Linked DNA regions of Cricetulus griseus. The protein of the gene in region 1 purifies or fractionates together with the protein of each later gene. This does not show direct contact. Links are inferred from orthologs where the notes say so. Each region holds a gene or a part of one and is shown in the gene's direction. Other genes may lie near its edges.

Region 1 (11,462 bases):
AGTGCTGATACCCCCTCCCTATTGTCCAAATGTGACTTGGCTTATCACTGGGACCTTGAGATTAAAGAGATGAGGGTGGTACTTGGAGATCTGGGTGGCATGCTCTATAAAAATTTAGAGTAGAACTTTTGAGGCTGACATGTTAGCAGAAATCTCATGTTTTCTCATCTAACTATTAATAGAAGCAAACTTTAACACTTATACCTTTCTATTTGCAGAGTGTAGACTCATGACTTCTTTGGGTAACACAGTGGAAGATATTTATAACCCCCTCATCTACTCTATGCCCTGTATTCTACTGTATTGAATTTGAGGGAATGCAATCCACAAACTATTGCCATTCCTGATTCCATGTATTTGCCTCTTCAGGAACCTATCTCCTGCCCCCCCCCAATTAATTTTTTTTTCCCTCTCTGTTTACCTCCCTTTTCATATAAATGATACTTTGTATGTATGAGGTAAGGGAAGTAATGAGACAATCTTGCATTTTAGCCTGGGGTAGCCTTAGCTTCCCTAGGCTGGATTGCAAGCTTGGGCCACAAGGTATACCTCATGGCAGTTTGTATTCTTTTTCTAAAGGGAGAGTTCAAGTACAGGCCTTCAAGAATTCAAGTAGAGACAGTAGTGTAATGAAGCCCAATGAGTGTATGAGTCTCCCTTCCCCTCCTCTCCCCTATGCAGACCATTAGGTATCATTCACTTATATATGCCCAAATGCAGTTCCATAGGCTGCCCTGTCTTGCTCTTGTAGCAAAAGTGTCACCAAAATAAGCATTACCTTTATTTGGCTTTGAGATGGGAGTTAATAGGTGTAAGTCACTATGCCCAACTATAATGAGCCTTAGGCACTGAGCGCTTGGGGGCTGTTGAGGATGAGGCAACTGGGAGTTGCCATGACTAGGCCCAGGGTCTGTAAATGTATAGTGCTGGAGAAGTATTTGAGAGCTACATCCTGATCTGCAAGCTGGTCTGGTAGGTAGGTCTAAGAGAAACTGACTGAGCATGGGATTTTGAAACTCTTAACACCTCCCCCCCCACACACACACACCCTGCACCTCCTAATCCTTTCAAACACTGCCACTCCCTGGTGACTAAGCATTCAAATATCTGAGTCTATGGTGGCCATGATTATTCAGACCACTATAGGCCTGATAGAACAGATTGCAATTTTTTGTTTTGTTTTGTTTTTCGAGACAGGGTTTCTCTGTGGCTTTGGATGCTGTCCTGGAACTAGCTCTTGTAGATCTGGCTGGTGTCGAACTCACAGAGATCCACCTGCCTCTACCTCCTGAGTGCTGGGATTAAAGGCATGCACCACCACCGCCTGGTTAATTTGTTGTTGTTGTTGTTGTTGTTGTTGTTATTCCTGATTTCTAAATAAGACAGAACCAAATGGATACCTTACAGAGTTATATGTATATATTTAAAAACAGGGTCCAATATAACAGTATTATAAAGGTCAGAGTTTTATAAGCTGTTTTGTCTGAGTATGAATGGATATTGGAGGTATAGGAAGAGTAGGTCTTGAATTACAGCAACACTTTGAGGGAGAGAAAACATTTTGAAGATGTCAGCATCCATAGTATAGTTCTTGTTTACTGTGAGATACAGCATCATAGCCCTCCCCTAAAATGGGTCGTTATATCAATAAAAAGTTAGACATTACTTGGAATAACTGCATCTTGTCTATATTCTTTTGAGTGTTCTTTAAAAACAAACAAAATCCTTGGATCAGAAGATGACTCAGTGGTTAAGAGCACCCAGGTTTGATGGTGGCTCACACCAACTCTAACTCCAGTCCCTAATAACATCCCTAATAGGCATCTAATAACCTCTTCTGGATTCTGTGGACACCAGGTACACATAAAATTAAGTTCAAATTTAAAAACAAACTTTGCCTCTCCCTGAGTCCTGCTAATTCTCCTACACCAAGGATACCTGATCACCATGTTGAATATGAGCCACACGAGAACGTGTTCTCACAGCTTTTAGCAAGAAATTTTAAACCACAGAGAGCTACATTTCCACAAAAGAAACTTTGCCACATGGTTTTCTTTACTCTGACACTTTGCTTGTAGCAGGAGAATTGAAGAGACCTTTGGATTGGTGGAGTACTTAAATTATTTGTTGGCAGTTTAGGGAAATAGACATTTTAGGAAGAAGAGAGCTTAAAAGATGAATGGTTCTTTCCAGTGAGGTATAACATCACACTTGATGGTGTGGTTCTGTGGAGTTGGTCATTCTCACACCTGCTGTGGGGCAGAAATGCTTGGTAAAAGTGATTTTCATGTGGTAATTTATTTCCTGTCTGCCTGCTCCCCAAAACTAGCCATCCTAGTATTTCATTGCTGTGTATTTTATCACTGAAACAAAACTTTATTTTTAAAATTGTAAATCACAAGCTTTACAGCTTAAAAAAAAGCCTGAAAAGAATATCTAATTTTTTTCAGGGTGGTTTGTTTGCTTTAGAGGGCTTTTTGCTATTTTTTTTGTTTTTCCTTGTAAAGTAAAAAGCATTAACTAATTCATCCCATCTGAAAGTCTGTTAAGTATGTTGTGGTTTCCTGTCTGGACCAAATTTTATAGGGTTGATGAATTTCAATAGGCTAAAGACAGCTGAAGGGGTGGGGCGTCTGTCATCCTCATCTTGGGAAGGGGGTTTCTAAGCAGATCTTTATATCTTCTGAGGAAAAGAAAGTATGTATATGGCTTGTATCTGAGCATCTATTTCTTCATCATTTGTTTATAAACTAAATAGTGCATAGGAAACACATAGCTCGGCTATAAGAGAATTACAAACGTCTACACTAGAGCTTAGGAGTAGATGGTAAGTTACTGAAGCTAGCAGGGGTTTTTTTTGTTTCTTTTTTAAAATTTTTTACATTCCAATCCCAGTTCTTCCTCTCCTCCTGCTCTCCCCTCCTTCCTTCCATCCCACCTCTCACCTGCTCCCCAGAGAGGGTAAATCCTCCCCTATGGGGTCAACTAAGTCTGTCCCATCACCTCATTGAGGCAGGACCAAGGTGCTCCCCACAGACACACACACTCCCCAATGTCTAGGCTGAGCAAGGTATGTCTCCATAGAGAATGGGCTCCACAAAGTCAGTTTATACAATATATTATATTCGTCCCACCACCAGTGACTCCATATACTGCCCAAGCCACACCATTGTCAACTGTATTCAGGAGTTCTAGTTCAGTCCTATGGCTGCTCCCCAGTTGTTAGTGTAATGTCAGTGATCTCTTATTAGCTCTGGTCAGCTGATTCTGTGGGTTTCCCCATCATGGTCTTGACTCCTTTGTTCATATTATCGCTCCTCTCTCACTTCGATTGTATTCTGGGAGGTTTGCCCAATGGCTACTTATATATAGATCTGTGGAGATCTGTTTTCTAGTTCTGTCCATTTGTAGTACTCCATTGTATAAATGTACCACATTTTCTTTATTCATTCTTTGGTTGAGGGGCACCTAGGTTGCTTCCAAGCTCTGGCTGTTACAAATAATGCTGCTATGAACATGGTTGAGGAAGTGTCCTTGTGGTGTGAATGTACCACCTTTGAGTATATGCCCAACAGCAGTATCTCAGGATCTTGAGGTAGATTAATTCCTAGTTTTTTGAGAAATCGCCATACTGATTTCCACAGCAGATATACAAGTTTTCACTCCCACTAGCCATGGAGGAGTGTTCCCTTTACTCCATACCCTCTCCAGCATAAGCTGTCGTTGGTATTTTTGATCTTAGCCATTCTGATCAATGTAAGATGTTATCTCAGGGTTGTTTCGATTTGCATTTCCCTGATGACTAAGGATGTTGAGTATTTCTTTAACCATACCCCAATTTTTAATTGGATTATTTGGTAGTTTGGTGTCTAGTTTCTTGAGTTCTTTGTATATTTTGTCAGATGTGGGGTTAGTGAAGTTTTTTTCCCATTCTGTAGGAAACCGTTTTGTCTTGTTGACCATGTTCTTTGCTTTACAGAAGCTTCTCAGTTTCAGGAGGTTCCATTTATTCACTGTTGTTCTCAGTGTCTGAGCTATTGGTGTTATATATTTAGGAGGTGGTCTCCTGTGCCTATGCGTTCAAGGATACTTCTCACTTTCTCCTATGCAATTTAGTGTGGATGGATTTATATTGAGGTCTTTGATCCATTTGGACTTGAGTTTTATGCATGGCAATACATATGAATCTATTTGTATTCTTCTACATGTCAACTCCAGTTATGCCAGTGCTATTTGAAGATGCTTTCTTTTTTCCATTTTATATTTTTAGAAGCTATCAGTTTTTACGTTTACATTTCATCTTGTATCAAGTGCTATAAACAGGCAGTAGAAATGGCCACACTGCCACTGATGTTTCCCTGTAGCAGTTGCCTTGTACTACTTATAAAATGGCTTCTGAGTTATTTTAAAACTAGGGTATTCAGTTTTGCTTATGTAAGAACATTAATTAGAGCTGTTTTGCTTTTGAATAAAAATACCATTTTAGAATTATATCTAAATATCTTTTGGTTTTTTGAGACAGGGTTTCTCTAGCTTTGGAGGCTGTCCTGGAACCTAGCTCTTGTAGACCAGGCTGGTCTCAAACTCACAGAGATCTGCCTGTCTCTGCCTCCCGAGTGCTGGGATTAAAGGTGTGTGCCACCACCGCCCAGCTGTACCTAAGTATCTTATACATGAATCCATGTAAATAATTACAAGCAATACATGGGTAGATTTTATTTGCAAAGGCAAAGTGAGCAGGTGTGCAGCTGTGCAGTGGCAACATCGGCTACCAACCATAAGTTATGCTGACAGAGTTGTACCCTTGTGCAGTGAGCTTAGAGGTCACTTCATTGTGTTTTCCAAACATCCAAAGAGGGACAGACATTAAGGGACCACTACTCAACAGTTCTCTAGGTAAATGACAAATGATCAAAGTCTGAGAGGCAGCTTTAAAGACTGAAGAGGTGGCCGGGCATTGGTGGTGCACACCTTTAATCCCAGCACTTGGGAGACAGAGGCAGGTGGATCTCTGTGAGTTCGAGACCAGCCTGGTTACCAATCGATTTCCAGGATAGGCTCCAAAGCTACACAGAGAAACCCTTGACAAAACAATACAAAAACAAAAAGACTGAGGAAGCTTGATGACTAAATGCTGTGGTGTTTGGATCCTGGAACCAGAAAAGGGGCATTTAGTAGGAAACTTAACTCAAATCTCATGGACACCTTAGTTTCACTAGCATTACACATGGTTTTGACAAGAATGTTTTGTTCTTAGATTTGACATTGGAGAGACTGGGTAAAGTCTGTGTATATGAGAATACACCTAAATTTGAAATTTTCTGAGTCTAGACCCAATTCCTAGGTAAATATATATGTATATAAATACACACACACACACACACACACACACACACACACACACACACACACACACACACACATATATCCATCCATCCATCCATCCATCCATCCATCCATCCATCCATCCATCCTTGAATTAGAGGAATTTTTGTCTTGAAGGGGTTGAGTATTTGCATGCTGCACACCCCCACACATAGGGTTTTCCTGTGTGGCACCTCTGGCTGTCCTGGAACTCACTTTGTAGAGCAGACTGGCCTTGAACTCATATATGATATGCCTGCCCCTGTCTCCCAAGTACTGGGATTATAGCACCCATTGTTCAGTGAGGATTTGTTTTTAACCACTGCTTTTCAGACTCCTCTGTATTAGGGAATCACTGATCAAAGAAGAGAAAAGACAAATTCAAAGAAATCATTCTATGCTATCAAGGATTCTGGTTTTCCATAAGACGTATTAGGATGGGATCCAAGGATTTGGCTAGTTGAGCTCAGTAATAGGCAGTTTATACACATGCAACAGTTCTGTTTTTGAAAGTTAGACACCTGACTTTACCTTGATGAAAATGAAAAGGCACATGAATTCTTTTTGTTTTGCTTTATGGGGGATGGGGCACTCTTTTAATCCCAGCATCTGAGAGGTACATAAGAGTTCTAGAAATGCCTGGTTTACAGAGTGAAACCCTATCTACAAACAAAAACAAAACAAAACAAAAAGCCTGCCACGATGGCCCATGTCTTTAATCCCTAATCCCAGCACTTGGGAGACAGAGATAGGAAAACCTTTTTGAGTTTGAATCCACTTGGTGTATAAAGCAAATTCTAGGATGGTCAAGGCTACCCCCTGAAACCTTGTCACCAGGAAGGAGGGAGGGAGGAATTCCTTTATGTGAATTATTAATTTCCATACCTAAAATTTTTGCTTTAGAATAGCTTTTCTATCAGGATTATTTTTTTTTCTGCCATTTTTGAAGACTTTCTTCATTCTTTCCCCAGATAAAACAATAAAATTATGGAAAATCAGTGAAAGAGACAAAAGACCAGAAGGCTATAACTTGAAAGAGGAAGATGGAAGGTATAGAGATCCTACTACAGTCACTACATTACGGGTAAGTACTTTTAAAAAGGTGTGGGGAGGTTCTCAATCCTAGCACAGCATGGTAGAGGAAGGTGGATCTCTGAGTTTTGAGGCCAGCCTAGTCTTCACAGTGTGCATTCCAAGATAGCCAGTGCTGACTTCAAAGAAAGAAAAATGCCTCTGATTGGATTTTTGTCAATATTTGTATAGCCTGGCTACCAAGCAGGTGCCATTATTGCCTCTGTTCCTAGAACCACTGGTGGACATTTCTTTATGGGACATTGCATCTTTCTCATTGAAATAGAAACAGCTACACAGAGGTCTCACTGCTTCCTGAGGAAGGGGGCGGGGGCACAGATGACATGGGACTCACACTGTCTTAACACTGGTTTTGGCTTTCAGAGTTGGAATCTTGGTTGTTACAAAGTAAGTGTCTTTGGAACTCAGAAAGTAGAAATGTTAGAAAAAAAAGTAGAATGTTAAAGTTAATGCTAAAGATGCTAAGAATAAGAAACTGGGTTTTACTTTTTTAGCCATGTTAATTCAAATCATACACTTGTACTAGGTTTATACTGGAACTATGATTTGAAAACTTGGAGAAGAAAGTAGTTGTCCAGATTGTTTATTTTTCTTTCTTCCAGTTTGGTGTTTAAAGAGAACCAACATCAGTGGCTTAAAAAAAACAAAAACAAAAAAACGAGACACCGACTCATTCTTCGTTATATCTCTTATGGTTGTTTTCTGAAAAGTAGAATAATGGTCTTGTGAATCTGGGTTTTCATATTTCATTGACAGGTGCCAGTGTTCAGGCCCATGGATCTAATGGTGGAGGCCAGTCCACGGAGAATATTTGCCAATGCCCATACCTACCACATCAACTCAATTTCTATCAATAGTGATTATGAAACCTACTTATCAGCAGATGATTTGCGGATTAATCTCTGGCATCTGGAAATTACAGACAGGAGTTTTAGTATCCACTTGATTAGTTTGGTGTTTGGTAAAGAAATCATACTGTGTCGGTATTAGATTTATCTTCTCTCTCCTTCATGTATTTTTTTCAATTTTTATTTTAATTAGAAGATTATTTTACATGTTAATCCCAGGTCCCTCTGCCTCCCCAACTAATACCTTACCTATCCCATGCCCTTTCTGCTCCCCAGGGAGGCTGAGGCCTTCTGTAGGGGGGGTCTTCAAAGTCTGTCATATCCTTTGGGATAGGGCCTAGGCCAGCCCCGTTGTATCGAGGCTTAGGGAGTTCCTTCACGTATTAGATCCTTGTTTTACTATGTCTTTCCATCTTTGTGGCATCTCCCCACCCCCATTTTTAAGTAATTAAAACTGAGAAAAAGTTAACTCAATGAGAAAATAAAAAATACGTATCATATGAGCTGATGATCCCAAAATAGAATTTTTGAAGTTCTAGGGAATTTCTTTTGTGCCTATAAAAATTGAAATTGAGTGGTTTGCTATGTTTGTAAAGTACTAATTTCAAAAATGTTCTAACTAATGTTGGAACATAAAATTGATTTAAAGATTTATTACTCTTGTGTGTGATAGTGCTATTTAACAGTACCAGCATTCAGCAGGCTGAGACCAGAGAACAGAAGTTCCAGGCCATCCTACACTGTATATATAGCAAGGTCTCTCAATAAAAAAAGAAAAAAAGTACAAATCACATTTTAACATTTCTGGGGTTTGCTCATAAAAAGGAATAGAGTGTTACTAAGAAATACTTGGTCTTAGTTATTTTCCCTTTTCTGTGTGGAGATTCCTTAATGAAATGCTATCTAGATATTGTGGATATCAAGCCTGCCAATATGGAAGAGCTCACAGAGGTGATTACAGCAGCAGAATTCCATCCCAACAGCTGTAACACATTCGTGTACAGCAGCAGTAAAGGAACTATTCGGTTATGTGACATGAGGGCATCTGCGCTCTGTGACAGACATTCTAAATGTAAGTCTGTTTCTGCCCTTTCTTTAAAGTGGGTCCACTCAGACTCAGCCTGACCTGTGTGCCTGTGGGTAACTTCCTGACTCCATCTGAAACTTTGCTTATTCCATAGAAAGCACATGAGGTGGGCATGTATGTGGATGGATGTGCGGTTGAGCTTTCCAGCCTTGTATTCAAGCAGAGCTTCCTTTCTTCTCTCTTTCCTTATCCCTCCTTCCTTAACCTTTTCAACTTACTAGGAAGCCACCCTCCCCCTACAAAAACATTGGCATTAAAATGGATGAGGCTGGAAGGATGGCTCAGTAGTTATGAGAATAGTAGCTCACAACTGTGTGATTCTTGGATTCCAGGGAATCCAATACCATCTGGCCTGCTTGGACACTGCACACATATGGTACAGTTATACACACACACACTGATACATGCCAGTTAACAAATCCTTTTATGGGGCAACTGGAAATTTGGATGGGCAGAGTGGAGGGTGGTTTCCAGAGTGACAATAGAGACAATGAGGCGGATTGTGCACTGAAGTAGAGTGTCCCACTTGAACTCTCCTATGGAAAAGCAGACCCCTACATTAACAGGGCTCTGCATTGTGTAGTAATCATTAAGTTTCTTGAGAGATTTTGTGAGGGAACCTGTCCCCAAAGCTGGCAAAATGTTTTAATTTTTCTGTATTAGTCTGTGATTTTTTTTCCCTCACTTGGTTATTAGAAAATGATCTATCCAAACCCAGATACTAAACTTTTCCTCTTGTTTTCAGTGTTTGAAGAACCTGAAGATCCCAGCAACAGGTCTTTTTTTTCTGAAATCATCTCCTCTATTTCTGATGTAAAATTCAGCCATAGTGGTCGCTATATGATGACTAGAGACTATTTGTCAGTCAAAATTTGGGACTTGAATATGGAAAACAGGCCTGTGGAGACATACCAGGTATTTGCAGTTTGTTTTGAAAGAGTGTATACCTGTGGACAGTATAGAGGTGCACAGGGTGTTCAGAGTGGCACATTTCTTTCAGAGAGCCACGGATGTGTTGCTGTTAACTGTGTAAAGTGTATGTTGTTTGTTCACGATTGTGGGTAAACTTAATTTTGTTAGTCACGTGGTTCACTGCTGGCTATTTGTGGTGGACTGCCTTGTATATGGGAGTGAGAAATGTGGACAGCAGCAGGGCTCGGGAAAGCATTCTCAGCAGAGGGCACACTCCGGATAAAAAGTGTACAGAAATAGCGGACCGGGGCTTAAGTTTGACCTGACAATCACATGACTCATATATCTTTTGGCTAATTGTTTCAAGTATAAAGGGCCTGAATTCTCTGTCAGTGGCTTTAGGAGTTACCTCTTTGGTGTAGAATGTAAGTTCAATATTCTCTCTCTGTCAAATAGCTACTGTCCTTGACCCGTATCTACAGCATCGGAGATAGATGAGAGTGAGGTACACAGTGCAGCACAGGCCAGGCCAGCAGAGCCTGTGGACCAGGGTGTAGAAAGAAGTGCTCTGAAGCAGACTTAGGAAATGCATGATGCTTACAAAATTAGGACAAACAAATGTTAAATGGAAACAAAATCAGCGTGAAATGTTCTGTTTTCAAAGTGTTGGCAGTATCCAGGAGAGCTAGCTGTCTTCCCCATGCATGACACTGAGACCCTCATGTCAGAGAATAACTTTCAGGATTCAGTTCTCTCTAATGTTGCATATCTTGGGAATCAAACTCAGGCTTGATAGCAAGCATACTTATCCACCAAGCCATATCTCAGCCCACCATAGACTTTTTAAATGATGTGGGTAGATAAGAGTGAGGAGATGGGGACAGACAGCTGAGAGAAATCAGTTTGTCACTAAGCCTAATCCTTTCTGTGCTGTATATTTAATTTAAAATAACAGAGCACAGTTAAATTTGTGCTCAGAAAATGGTACTCAGAGGCAAGGAAGCAGCATTCTTATAAGCAGTAATGGACTGAGTGCCAAAAAGTGAAAATTAAATTCTGCTACAACATTCTTTTGTTAGTCTCTTATTTGCCATTTTCAAATACCTTCTGGCTTAGATGTCTCAGTTACTGTTATATTTATGTGAACGAGACACCATGACCAAGGCAACTTAAGAAAGAAATTATTTTAAACTGCTGGTGGTGGCGGCGGCAGCGGCACACACCTTTAATCCTGGTACTTGGGAGGCAGGGGCAGGTGGATCTCTTGTGAGTTCCTGGACAGCCAGGGCTACACAGAAACCCTGTCCCTGGCGGGAGAAGAGATGGCATTTAATGGGGACTTGCTTACAGTTTCATTATGGTGGAGAATATGGGTGGCAGGCAGGCAGGCAGGCATGGTGTAGAACAGTAGCTTACATCTGATTCACTGACTGGAGGCAGAGGGAGGCTGACTTCAAAGCCCTACCCCAGTGACACAAAAGGCCTCCTCCAAAAGGCCACACCACTTAATCCTTCCTAAATAGGCCACCAAATGTGGATCAAACATTCAGATAAATGAATCTATGGAGGGTGTACATTCTTATTTGAATATTACAGATGTCTTAGTTAGGCTTATTGGAGTACGTTGCAGTGCCCAGAAAGGTGTTTTCCTCAGTTGTGCTACTGAAAAATGTAAGGACCAGGAGAAGTAAGGTTAGAGGGGGGGGGGGGTGTGATTCTGCTATCCACTGTTTAAATGAATTTTTAATGTTCCTGATTTGAGAGGAGACTGAAATGGAGTATGTGTTTCTCCCTAGGTACATGAATACCTCAGAAGTAAACTTTGCTCACTCTATGAAAATGACTGCATATTTGACAAATTTGAATGTTGTTGGAATGGGTCTGACAGGTAAGGAAGAAACTTGCTGTTTTATCCCCTCTGGTTTGTCATACTAGGTAAAAATAAAGACCTAATTTTTTGTTTCTTTGACAGAAGTTATTCTTTTTTCTTCCAGGTACTTGTGAAATAAACCTAGTAATCATGAATAGAGTTATAATGATTAAAAAAAAAGTGTTGATTTTCTACATAAAGCATAAGAGATCTATAATAAGAAGTTATAGGTATTTAAGTTACATTATAAAATCTTTCCCCTTTTTTTGTGAGCCACATAAATGACATT
Region 2 (12,169 bases), on another chromosome or scaffold:
AAGGAAACCATCAGACTTTCTGGGGTTTATTGGATACTGACTCTGAATTAACACTGATTCTGGGAGACCCCCAAGAAATATTGGGGCCCTTCAGTTCAAGCAGGGGCTTGTGGAGGTTAAGGGATTAACGGAAATTTGGCTGAAGTCCCACTCACTGGGGAAGTGAGCAAGCTGTGAAGGCAGGAAGGCAGTCGCACAGCCTCACAGTCTCACAGCTGGTCTGGGCAAGGCGTGGGCAAGGACCAGAGCAGGGCACATATGAGCTACCGGGAGGGTGGTGGGGACCAGGGGATAGGACATGGCTTGGTTACTTGGGAAGCCAGGAACCAACACTGCAGTTTCCTCTGAGCACCACAAATGGGGCTACTGGGGGGGTCCTGAGCAATGATCCATTTAAGGGGCTCTGTCTGCTGCAGGCATGAGTGAGTGGGCTTGCAAAGGCAACGGCCAGTGGGAGGCAGCGCTGAAGTACCAGGAATCACCAGAAGGAAGCAACATCAGCCGAGAAGCCAGAAGCAGGGAAAGTAGTGCAGGACTGTATAGATACCACTTGTGTTTAAATTTCCCTGAATACACCGACCACTGTTAATTACAATCAGAAAACTTCTGTATCAGAGGCACCCACAGATCTGTTTCCTCCCTGTTTAATGTTTCCTTTTGTTTTTCTTTTGCCATTTTGGTCCTATGGCCCAAAACATGTGATTAAATTATAGATAGGGGGAAAGAATGGACAGAGGTCCTGAAACACATTTTTTACTCCAGTGAGTGTTTTTTTTTTTAAAGTTTGTGTGATGAAATTAATTGCCAGTTTGACAGAATCTATAATCACCCAAGGGATGGACCTCCGGCCATGCCTGTGGGGATTATCTTGGTGGTGTTGGTTGAGGTTAGAGGATCCATCTTAGCTGTGGTAAGACCTGGGTTGAACAGAGAAAGGCTGAGCACTAATTTCTTAGCTAGGGTTTCTATTGCTGTGATGAAACACTGCGATCAAGAGCAAGTTGGGGAGGAAAGCATTTATTCAGTTTACACTTGAGCATTGCTGTTCATCATCAAAGAAAGTCAGGACAGGAACTCAAGCAGGGCAGGAACCTGGAGGCAGGAACTGATGCAGAGGCCATGGAATGCAGCTACTTACTGGCTTGCTCCTCATGGCCTGTTTTAGAACCCAGGACCATCAGCCCAGGGGTAGCACCACCCTGGGCTGGGCCCTCCCTCACTGATCACTAATTGAGAAGGTGCCTTACAGCTGAATCTCATAGAGTCAGTTCCTCAGCTGAGGCCTCTTCCTCTCTGGTGACTCTAGTTGTGTCAAGTTGACACACAAGACCAGTCAGTAACATTAGCTCAGCATTCATAGGTCTCTGTGTAGCTGTGGACACTCTGTGACCAGCTCCCTGAGGCGCCAGTGCTAAGATCTCTCCACCTTGATAAGTAGTACCTTGAGCTGTGAGATAAGGTAAACCTTTCTCTTGTCTTTTTTTTTTTTTTTTGAGTATTTTTATAATAACAGGAAAAGAAACTAAGACAGTTGACATACAGACTTTCATTATGACTTTTTTGTTTTTTACATTTATTTGCCTATTTGCTTGGAGTCATGGCTAGTGCATGTCATAGCATGCCTGTGGAGATCAGAGTACAGCCCATGAGAATTAGTTCTGTCCTTTCAGCATATTGGTCCTGGGACCAAACTTGGGTCATTAAGTTCAGGGAACCGTGGAGTTGGCCTGTCCTAACCGCCACACATTGTAGGTTTTTCAGGTTTGAGTGCGTGGTTCCTGGGGCACTGTGTGTGTCCCTGAGAATCGAGGTCCTCCCTCAGGCAGTGACGCTTCCATGCCAAACTGTGCTTCTTGTATTGTTCCCTTGGAAGTCAAGGAAGCACCGAAGCCTGACAGGACAATTGGTATTGGACAGTAACCTGTGTGCCCTGTAAAGTTTGCACACATCATTGTATCCCAGCAGCTACAACTGTATTGGTCCTGGCAACTGACATTTAGTCTGTTCCTGATCAGGGCATGAAAACTCTGATTGCTCTCAACAAAACTGTCAAAATTCTGGTCTTGCTGTGGTCCTTCAGCCTGAGCCTGGTTTAATTTCTTGCCTGCCATATCAGATAACCTTGGCCTGGTAAGTAAGAATGGGCACTTAAAGTCAAGCTTGGTGGTAAAGCACCTTTTCTGGCTGAGCTATCTCACCAGCCCTCATGACATTTTCATGTGAGGATATGATTGTATTTTGTTCCTATTCAACCCTGCCCCACTCACCCTCCTGTTCCCCTCCCTCCCCCAAATGTTCCCTTCTGTTTCGATGTATTACATAGAATATTTTAAAATTCAATGTGTAGTTGGCTTGTCTTTTTTTTTTTCCCTCTCTTTGCTCTCTGGGGGGCCTGCCACCCAGCTCCCAAATAAATACATGATTCTTATTTATGAATACCCTGCCTTAGCTTGGCTTGTTTTTGGCCAACTTTTCTAATTTAAACTATCCCATTTCTCTTTAACTACATTTTGTGTCTGGGCTATTATTGCCTTTCTCTATTTTTCTTCTTACGCTGTGGCTGGGCCTGTGGCTTTCTGGCCAGCCCCTGGTGGCCTCCTCTCTCTCTCTCTGTCCTCCCTCTCTTCTCCTACTTATGGTCTCTGCCTGGCAGCCCTGCCTATCCTTTCTCCTGCCTTGCTATTGGCTGCTCAGCTCTTTGTTAGAACAACCAGGTGTTTTAGACAGGCAAAGTTAAAACACTTCAGCAGAGTTAAATAAATACAATATCAAAGAACACAACACATCTTTGCATCGTTAAACAAATGTTCCACAGCGTAAACAAATGTAACACCTTCAACTCATATTCTACAATAGCAATATTTATATCTAGATCCTGCATGATAGAAAACATGTTTCTCGTCTGGCTTCCTCTGAAAATGACACAATTTCACTCTTTTTTCACACCTGAGCCTGACTACACTTCCAATCTGTAATAGAGTATTTGTTTTCTTTTTCTCTGCCAGCTTGATGGGCAGAAGGCAGCGCCTGTCATGGCCAGTTTGCCTTGCCCGTTCTGACAGAGCAAGCATGTCTGGGGGCTGCTTTGGTGTTTTATTTTGCTTTCCCATGCCATCTGTTTGTGGATCTTGTTTCCAAGTGCACGACAACTGTGTAGGAACTGGATCTTCATCATTGACTTTGTATGTTACATGCCCAGGTGTAAGTCTTCATGGAGTTACTTTACCACGCCTGTCTTTCACCTAGTGTATTGTCACTGTCAACTTTCCTGTCTCCCACCGGGTTCTTAACTTGTCCTCTCTAAGAATCAAGTGGGCAGACAGGAGAGAACAAATGAGGAGGGTGTGATTTGTATGTGAATGACAACACAGACAGGATGGAGGGGCACCAAGCAGGAGCAACAACCCAAGTAGAGCAAAATAGAAGGTGACAGTGGGATACCAGCTGAGATGCTGCCAGTGAAAGTTATAGCTCTAGGTGCTCTGGCAAGCCTCAGGATGTCAACTGTTCTCCCTGGACCACAGAGAGAGCTTTGGAGCCTATCCTGGAACTTGCTCTTGTAGACCAGGCTGGTCTCGAAACTCACATAGATCCACCTGCCTCTGTCTCCTGAGTGCTGGGACTAAAGGCGTACACCACCAACACCCGGCGGTTTCAGTTTTTAAATCAAGAAGTCTTATCCTTGTTTTGGTGGCGGCCACATCCTAGGGGTGTGGCTTCAGGTGCAGACATGACCCCCTTATAAGGATGAGGGGCAGGCTCTCTTGGGTTGTGGTGAGAGTATCTGAAGGGCAGAGACTGCTTCTGGAGGGGGAAGATGTTTGCTATTATTTGTGTAAGTGCTTCCCTAACAAATACCTGTTTATCATCTATCTTGGGGTTGGGGTCTTGTGGACTCATTTAAACTCTGCCTTCAAATAAATATAGCAAAAAAAAAAAATTTTTTTTTTTTTTTTTTGGTATAGGGATTTTACCTGCATGTATGTCTGTGCACCATTTTCATGCCTGGTTGTGAGCCACCATGTGGGTGCTAGGAACCAAATCCTGGTCCTGTGGAAGAGCACCCAGGGCTCTTAACCACTGAGCCACCTCTCCAGCCCCTGCAAAATGATGTTGTTGAGTCAGGTTCTCACTATGTCATCCTGGCTGGCCTGGCTCTCTCGATATAGACTCACAGGAATCGGCTGGCCTTTGCCTCCTGAGTGCTAGGGCTAAAGTCCTTAACTCCCACTTGAGGCTACATTATTAAAAGATTATTAATCTTTTAGAGTACATCCTTTCAACAAAGTAACTTCAAAAGCCACCAAAATTATGTACTCTCTTGAGCTGTACACACACACCCTTGGGTGTGCACTGCTTCCCCAACCTTGTTTCATAGAATCCTGAATCCTTCCCGCTCTTCAGGCTGCCCCGTTGAGTCACCTCTCACTGCCAGTGACATCTGCAAGCACTCCTCCACGGTAGTCTAATCCCTCGTCGAACCCTCTGAGGGCTTGCAGTGGAGATTATTAAGCAGCTCCCATCCAGCCTTGCTCTCTTTGGGTGACGCCTGTCAAATGCAGAGACTCTCTCTTGCCCTAATTCCATTCAGGGGTCAGCTCAACTCTGGTTTCCTTTGGGTTCTTAGTCTTACTAATAAAATAACTTAAGACGGTTCTGGAACGAAGGTCATGGACAATTTTTATTAGATTTCGAGGAAAAGAAAAAGAGGGTGAACACATTGAAAAACTTGTGGCCTCCAAGAGGAGGGGGATGAGGAGACTGACTGCCTTTTAAGTTAGACAAGGAGGTCAAAGAAACAGAAAGCCCAAAGTCTCAGGGAAACTATGCCTAGGCTTTTGGCCGGTTCCCAAAAGAGACGAAGAAAAAGAAAAGGGAGCCGAAGAGGCAGCTCAGTGGCAGCTGACCACCAAGCCTAAGGTTCTCAGACCCACATGACAGAAAAAAAGTGATTCCTGCAAAGAGTCGTCTGTCCCCCACGAAACACTAGATAAATGTGCTTTTGTAAAGTTAAAGCACGGGTCGGAGAGATGCCTCGGGGGGGTTAGGAGCAATTGTAGTTCTGACAGGACCCGGGTGAGGCTCTCAGCCCCCACACACACCCACGGTGGCCAGGTCATGCACAGGCACACACGCAACTGACGCACACTCATACATGCGGCGCAACACTAATGCACACAGAGATTAAATTTAAAAGAGCAGTAATAAGAAAGGAAGACAGGGTGTCGATTCCGAGGGCCTTCCTTTGTGCGGCCTAAGGAAGGGCAGGGAGTGGGCTGGTGAGCCGGGAGAGCCAGCGCGCAGCGCACAGCCGAGCGCCTGGCCCTGCTTTTCCCGGCCTTTCCCTGCGCACACGCTTGTTTCCGGCCGGAACGTGGCACCGTCCCTTCTGCCAGCCACCGGACACCGGCTTCACGCGTCACCGGCGGCGGCGGGACTTGGGGTCCCGCCGGAAGACCCCGGGGCCTGGTTCCGGGGTTCCACCCCCGAGGCTCGTTCGGCCCTCCTGGGCTTCAAAGGAGCCGCCGCTACGGACAACCGCAGGACGGAGGTCGACGGAGACCGAGGGCGAGCCGGCCGGGAACCGGCAAGGGAGGGACGCCCGCAAGGTTACCTGGGAGCCGGGGGCGGGGCCGAGCGCGCGGGGATTCTGGGAGCCAGGGCGCGCGGAATGCCGGGACCCGCGGTCGGGCCGTCCAGAGACAAGGGAAAGGGGGCGGAGCGAGGCCGGGGGGCCGGGGCGGGGCCGGGCGGGGCGGGGCGCCCGGCGCGCGATCCTAACGGCTGAGGGCGCTGCGCGGGAGCCCACGCGGCACAGGCTCCGCCTGGCGTGGGTTTGAACGGAGCTCCGCCCCGCGCTCCACCAATCGGCGCTCGCGCGGCGGGCGACGCCATGGCGACCCTTTGTGGGCGCTGAGGGCCGGGGCTGCACGGCCGACGGGGTGGCGCCGCAGGTAAGCGGGCGGGCTGTGTGCTCCTGCGGGCCCGGGGCCGGCCTGCGCGGAGGCCGGGCGGCGGCTCCTCCCGCTCGGGCGGGCGGGCGGGCGGGACGGGCGGCTCGCGCGGCGGCGGCGGGGTCCCCGGGCCTCGGCCTCCCTTGGCGTCGGTGACGCTGCGGCGCGTTGAGTGACACATCCCGAGAGCCGCGGCGGCGGCTGCTGCGAGCCGGCGCCCCCGCCCTCCGCCCACGCGCCCGAGCTTCCGCTCCGTCCCCCTCCTTTTCCTTTCTCCTCCGCCCGGGGCCCCCGTGGGTTCGGTCCGCGTCGGCCTCCGCCTCGCCGTCCGTGCCCGGTGCGGCCGCCCCTGCGGGGGCTGCGGTTTGGGGATGGGGACGGGGACGGGGCGCTAGGCTTGGCCTGGCTCCTAGCGACACCGAGCCCCGTCCGGACGTCGTCCGCTTGCCGGCTGGGGGCGGATTCCCGAGAGGCCAGGGCCGCCGCCCGCCCGCCCGGTGAGTGCTGGCCTTGCCGTCTTGTCCTTTGTTTCCCGAGTTTTGATCCCCCTGAGGTTACCCGGTGTCTTGTGTTGCCTAACCCCTTCCCCTGCTACCGTATACCCCCGCCTCCTCCTGAACTCATCTTTTGTCGCCCGGTGTAGATACTGCCCGCCCCGGGGATCTGTGGAACTCGACGGGGAGCCAATTTGGTCTCCCCTAATCTAGCCTGAGGCTAAATGGAACTGGGGGTGGGGTGGGGAATGCCAGAGGCTTTCTTTTATGGTTTCTCTCACCCAAATAAGACCACCAGGGAAGGGGGTCCTCCCAGAACCTGGGACAGAACCTGGGACAGCTGTACTTACTGGTCCAGCCTGTACCTTGTCTTGGTGGCCTTTGTATCTGACTACCAGACAGCAGGGCTGAGGTAGCCATTGATTTAATAGCTCCACAGGAAACGTCGTCTGCATGCAGTATTAAGGTTTATGTTTCATCAGAGTCCTGCATGCAGCTTCATCGAGGTTCTATGGATGAAATGTAAAATGCATCCAGGAATCCCTTCCCCATTTTTGGAGGTGCTAGTTTTTAGAAGGTCAGGAAGTTTCCCTCAGGTTGTCACTGGAACCTACTGCCAGGCTTAAGAAAGCCCCACAATACTTCTAAGGAGAAATCTAATTAGGAATTTTTAGTGAACTGTTTCTACAAAATCTCAAGTAGAAACAGTGGGACAATAAACTTCATCATTGGGCCCGGCAATTTCCCAACTTGTTACCTCCTCCCAGTTGCTTTTGAGGAAGTAGTTTAAAGCAGTTGTGATTTTTGTTGTTGTTTCGTTTTTTTGTTTGTTTGTTTTGTTTTTATTTTTTGATACAGGGTTTCTTTTAGTCTTGGCTGGCCTCAGGCAGACACTGTAGCCAGAAATAACTGTTAACTGTCCTTGTCTCTGCTTCCCAAGTGCTGGGATTACAGGTGTGTCACCATGCCCAGTTCTGAAATCACTAAATCCTGATTCACCTTAAAAATCCAATATCCAGATGAGTGCTTGACTGGCCACAGTACAAGGCCTGGTTGTGATAGGTCTATTCACATAAAACCAAGACTCTGGTGGCTGCCTAAAGTCATGGTGGGAGCCCAGGAAGCTGCATGTAATCCTTCACTAGAAGAATTAAGCAACTCAGGTGGCCACAGGGAGCTGTACCCAGGGCAGTCTAAGAGAGTCCCTAGAGCTCAACCATTTACAGAACCTGTGCTGGTGATACAGACCTTCACCTTCAAGTTTCCCCTTTCCTCTTGCTAGTTACACCATCACCATCCTGTTCATAGCTTAGGTTCTAGAGTGACAGGTAAGCAAACAACTGTATTTTCCATTCCAGAGCTTTTGTCCTGGAATACCCCACAGCTTACCTTGTGACAACAACCCCCCCCCCCCCCCCCGTGGACATTGAATCCCTGGAACTAGAGTTAGAGGCAGTTGTAAGCCATCATATGAGTGCTGGGCACCCAAACTTCATCATCTGTAAGAGTCTCATCTCTCCAGCCACAGCGTGTTTAAAATCATTAAATCTGAGGAGGGTGAACAAGACTGAAGGACAGTCTCTGGCCCTAGCAGGATAGGGAGTGTTGGTTAAAGCTCTGTTGTGCAAGAGTTTTATGTACCCTAAGGAAAAGGGAACAGAGGCAGGGTGGTGATGGCACACACCTTTAATCCCAGAACTGGGGAGCCAGACACAGGTGAATCTTTGTGAGTTTGAGGCCAGCCTAGATGACAGGCTCCGAAGCTACACAGAGAAACCCTGTCTTGAAGAAAAAAAAAATCAAAAAAGCAGAGTTGGGGAAAGAAGAGAATGTTTAACTTGCAAAGTTAGTAAATGTGGAGAGGGTAGTTTTCATAGCAAATATGAAAAATTAATGTTTCCTAGGATGGTGCTGGCTGTAGGCTGCCTGGTGTGCTTGTGCATGCGACAAGTAGGCACTCCCAGAAATGATGACCCCCTTGTTCCCTGACAAGATAAACAACTTGTGGAAGCCAGTGCTCAGGACGAAGAAAGGGGCTGGGAAAAGGGACCTAGAGAATGGCAGGTTTTCTCTGCACGGTTAGAACTGTGGAGCATTTTTGTTTTCTGATTTTTTTATTCTCTTCCAGATTGTCTAGTGAGCTATGCAAATAACCAGCCAAACATGGGAGAGCATGTGGAGGCTGTGTCACCAACACTTCTGTGGCTGGGAGTTGGTCCCATCACTATTTGGCAGTCTTGAGGAAAGCTTTGCTGGGGGTGGCTAGGGGTGGGCTGACTAGGTGATGAACATCGCCTATGTGAGAAACAGCACCTCCATTCTGTAATCACAAATTTAAGAAGCAAAACAGTTTTAGTTTTATGACTCTGCAGAAACGGATGTCAGCCTAGCAAAAATAGCTTTCCAATTTGGCACAGAAAATGGTTTTTAAAGTCCCGGTGAAAAACTCAGCCTTTTCTGTTTTTCTGAGACAGGGTCTCACTCACTGTATTCCTTTGAACTGAGGAGATCCACCTGCCTCTAGTGCTGGGCTTTAAAGGCTTTTACCATCGTCACGTCACACCCTACAGTTCTGTCCTTTCTCCCATAGGCTGGTTCTCTAGAGAGAAAAGGTTCACATTTACCTAGCATAGCCTGCTTGGTGGACTCCTCATCTAATGGATATTCCGGGTTCCAGATCCGTCACAGCAGACTGCAACTTCTCAACCTTAGGATGAACTAAGTGGGTCTAGACAAGCAGGCTAACTGCTACCTAGGAAAAACAGGAGCCTAGTGCCTCCTATTACTGGTCTGGTTTTCCAGTGAGCTCTAAAGACTTAGCAGGGCAGTGATAGTGCACACCTTTAACCCCGAACTCAGGAGGCAGAGACAGGTGGATCTCTCTGTGTACATTCGAGGCCACCTGGTCTACAGAGTGAGTTCCAGGACAGCCAAGGCTACATATAGAGAAACCCTGCCTTGAATTGGGGGGGCGGGGTATTTTGTTTCTTGCATCCCATGACTGCCTGTAGTAGGTAAATTGCCTCCTTGGCTAGTCCTAAGATGGCACCAGAAATGCTGTGCCAGGCTTTTTCGTTTGGGACTCCAACCAGCTCCTAAATCATGACACGGGGACTTTTAGTTATGAATGCTTAGCCTAGTTTAGGCTTGTTTCTAGCTAGCTCTTTTGACTTCAATTAACCTGTTTCTTGTTTATCAACCTTTAGCCTTGGGGCTTTTTACTTTTCTTTGCTTCTGTGTATCTTACTTTCACTACTTCTTGTGTCTGCTAGCTGCCTGGCTTCTTGCCCCGGGCAAGAAAAGACCAATGATGACTTCTCTCTTCAGCCTGTGCTCTACCTGCTGTCACTAAGAATAGTAGCCAGAAGGGAGGAAACTTCCAGCTCAGGAACCCATTCATTATCTTCTCTGTCCTTTTGTGAGTTCTCTTCACTGCCTCCTCTGGTTGGCCATACCCTCCCTGGAACCAGACTGCCTTCAATTTAAGCTATCTGCTAGATTTCTGTCTAGGTATTCTGTCTGCAAAATAGGGTTTAATTCATGCCATATGAGCTAGTTTGGTTCAAGTTCTGTTGTTAAATCATGAAGAGTCAACCCTGAATCAAAGAGGAACTTGCCAAAGAGGAACTTTTGGGACTTCCCACCCCCTAATCCAGGGTTTCTTGTTATAGTTTGATATAGTAGATTAATCCTTAATAAATTTAGCAGTGTTATCCTAGTGCCTTTGAACGTGTAATTGTTTTTTAAAAAAATGAAAAAAATTAATGTAGACTTAGTGGCTAACACTTGTAATCCCGCCCCTCTGGAGGCTGAGGCAGAAGGATCTCAAGAGAACAGTCTGTTGAACATAGGTACTGTTAAACACACATACTGCCACACCAAAAAAGAAATCTCTGTGATGTAAAGTTACATTGGTTACCTTTCTGTCCCTGTGACAAAACACCTGAGGAAGCAACTTGGGGAAGGAAGGGTTGGTTTGGGCTTGCAGTTAATAGCAGGGACACATTGAGTCCATCAGACAGGGAAGGCACATCAGTGGAAGGAGGCAGCCAACCTGGTAGTCAGGAAGCAGTGTGATGACATCATCTGCACACAGGAAGGAAGCAGACACTAGGCTGTAGGGCCAAGCTGTAAAACTGAAAGCTGTCCCTGGTTGTGCATTTCTTTCAGCACAGCCCGACCTCTTAAAGGTTCTGTGATGTCCCACACAGCACCATCAGCTGGAGATCAAGTGTTCAAACCCAACCTAAGTATTTATTTCTAAAAGATTTTATTTTGAGTGTGTGTAGGTATTTTGCATACAGTACCTACAGAGATCAGAAGAGGGTGTCTGTCAGATACCATGGAAACAAAGTTACAGATGGTTGTAAGCCATCATGTGGGGGCCTGGAATAGAAGGTCCCCATCTCCAGCTCCATAGTCAGCGGAAACAGTTTAAAAAGTATTTTGCCTGGCGTGGTGTCACATACTTTATCCCAATCCCCAGGGAAGCAGAGGCTGGCCTGGTATGCCCAGTGAATTCTAGGCTAGCCAGGACTGCCTGGTTCAAAAACAAAACATAATAACCAGCAGTTGTTTAGGTGTGTTATGTGTGTGCGTGGATGCGTGGGGGGGGGGGGTGCAGAGGCTGATACCTGCTATCTTTCCCATTTGCTCTCCACTTTTAATTTTTTTCTTAAAGATTTTATTTATTATGTATACAACATTCTGCTTCCGTGTATATCTGCACACCAGAAGAGGGCACCAGATCTCATAACAGATGGTTGTGAGCCACCATGTGGTTGCTGGGAATTGAACTCAGGACCTCTGGAAGAGCAGTCAGTGCTTTAACCTCTGAGCCATCTCTCCAGCCCCTCCACTTTTAATTTTTGAGGCAGTGTTTTGTTTGAGTCCAGAGTCAGCCTGCTCCAGGGATCCCTTGTTTTTATCTCCCAAGCTCTGGCATTAGAGTTGGGCCATCACACCTGCCTGGCATTTACATGGGTACTAACTAAGGATTTGAACTCCGATTTTCAATTTGTATAGTAAGCCTCTTTTTTTTGTTTTTGTTTTTGTTTTTTTTTTTTTTTTTTGAGACAGGGTTTCTCTGTGTAGCTTTGGAGCCTATCCTGGCACTCGCTCTGGAGACCAGGCTGGCCTCGAACTCACAGAGATCCGCCTGCCTCTGCCTCCCGAGTGCTGGGATTAAAGGCATGCACCACCAACGCCCGGCGTATAGTAGGCCTTTAATCTGCTTAGCCATTGACCTGGCCTCATGAAATATTTTATTGTTTAGACTTATGTTCTCTGTATGTTCCCTGTTTTTATGTATGTGTGTGCCTGGTGCACTTGGGGATCAGAATAGGGCAATGGATTTCCTGCATCTTGAGTTATAGATGGTTTTGAGCCACCATGTAAGTAGTGGACTCAAGCCTGGATCCTCTGGAAGAGCAGCCATCTCTCTGGCCCCTCCTGATAGTATTTATACTTTGGTGGTCAACTCCTTTTCTTCATTACAAGATAGATGATAAAACTTGAGGGGTAGTGTGGACCAGAGCACTTGCTTATTTTCCTGGGCATAGTCTTAGAGCAAAAAATAAACTATTGGCAGTAGGACTCTCAAGTTTTTATCTTTAGATTATGATTTTCTTCTATGAAGTTGCAAAGGAACTTTATAGCCTCTGCATTCCTCTTTCCGTTCCTTTTTCACTTAGGGTTTCGTGGGATGTGTGGGAGCTGGGC

What was found.
Region 2: the proteins of Ppp2r2a (region 1) and Cdca4 purify together in Homo sapiens (affinity purification with mass spectrometry; 4 studies listed by BioGRID and IntAct, with this or other methods). This does not show direct contact. The link is inferred for Cricetulus griseus from reciprocal best matches to the Homo sapiens genes PPP2R2A and CDCA4.

The regions. Positions count from the first base shown.
Region 1 is NW_023276807.1:221,998,589-222,010,050, reverse strand, and holds part of Ppp2r2a (serine/threonine-protein phosphatase 2A 55 kDa regulatory subunit B alpha isoform), read left to right. Parts: intron 1-6,335; coding exon 6,336-6,448; intron 6,449-7,212; coding exon 7,213-7,390; intron 7,391-8,211; coding exon 8,212-8,376; intron 8,377-9,136; coding exon 9,137-9,306; intron 9,307-11,099; coding exon 11,100-11,191; intron 11,192-11,462. UniProt on the Homo sapiens protein: Substrate-recognition subunit of protein phosphatase 2A (PP2A) that plays a key role in cell cycle by controlling mitosis entry and exit. Involved in chromosome clustering during late mitosis by mediating dephosphorylation of MKI67.
Region 2 is NC_048598.1:181,215,256-181,227,424, forward strand, and holds the start of Cdca4 (cell division cycle-associated protein 4), read left to right. Parts: upstream 1-5,468; 5' UTR 5,469-5,609; intron 5,610-5,802; exon of another isoform or gene 5,803-5,954; intron 5,955-6,142; exon of another isoform or gene 6,143-6,451; intron 6,452-12,169. UniProt on the Homo sapiens protein: May participate in the regulation of cell proliferation through the E2F/RB pathway. May be involved in molecular regulation of hematopoietic stem cells and progenitor cell lineage commitment and differentiation.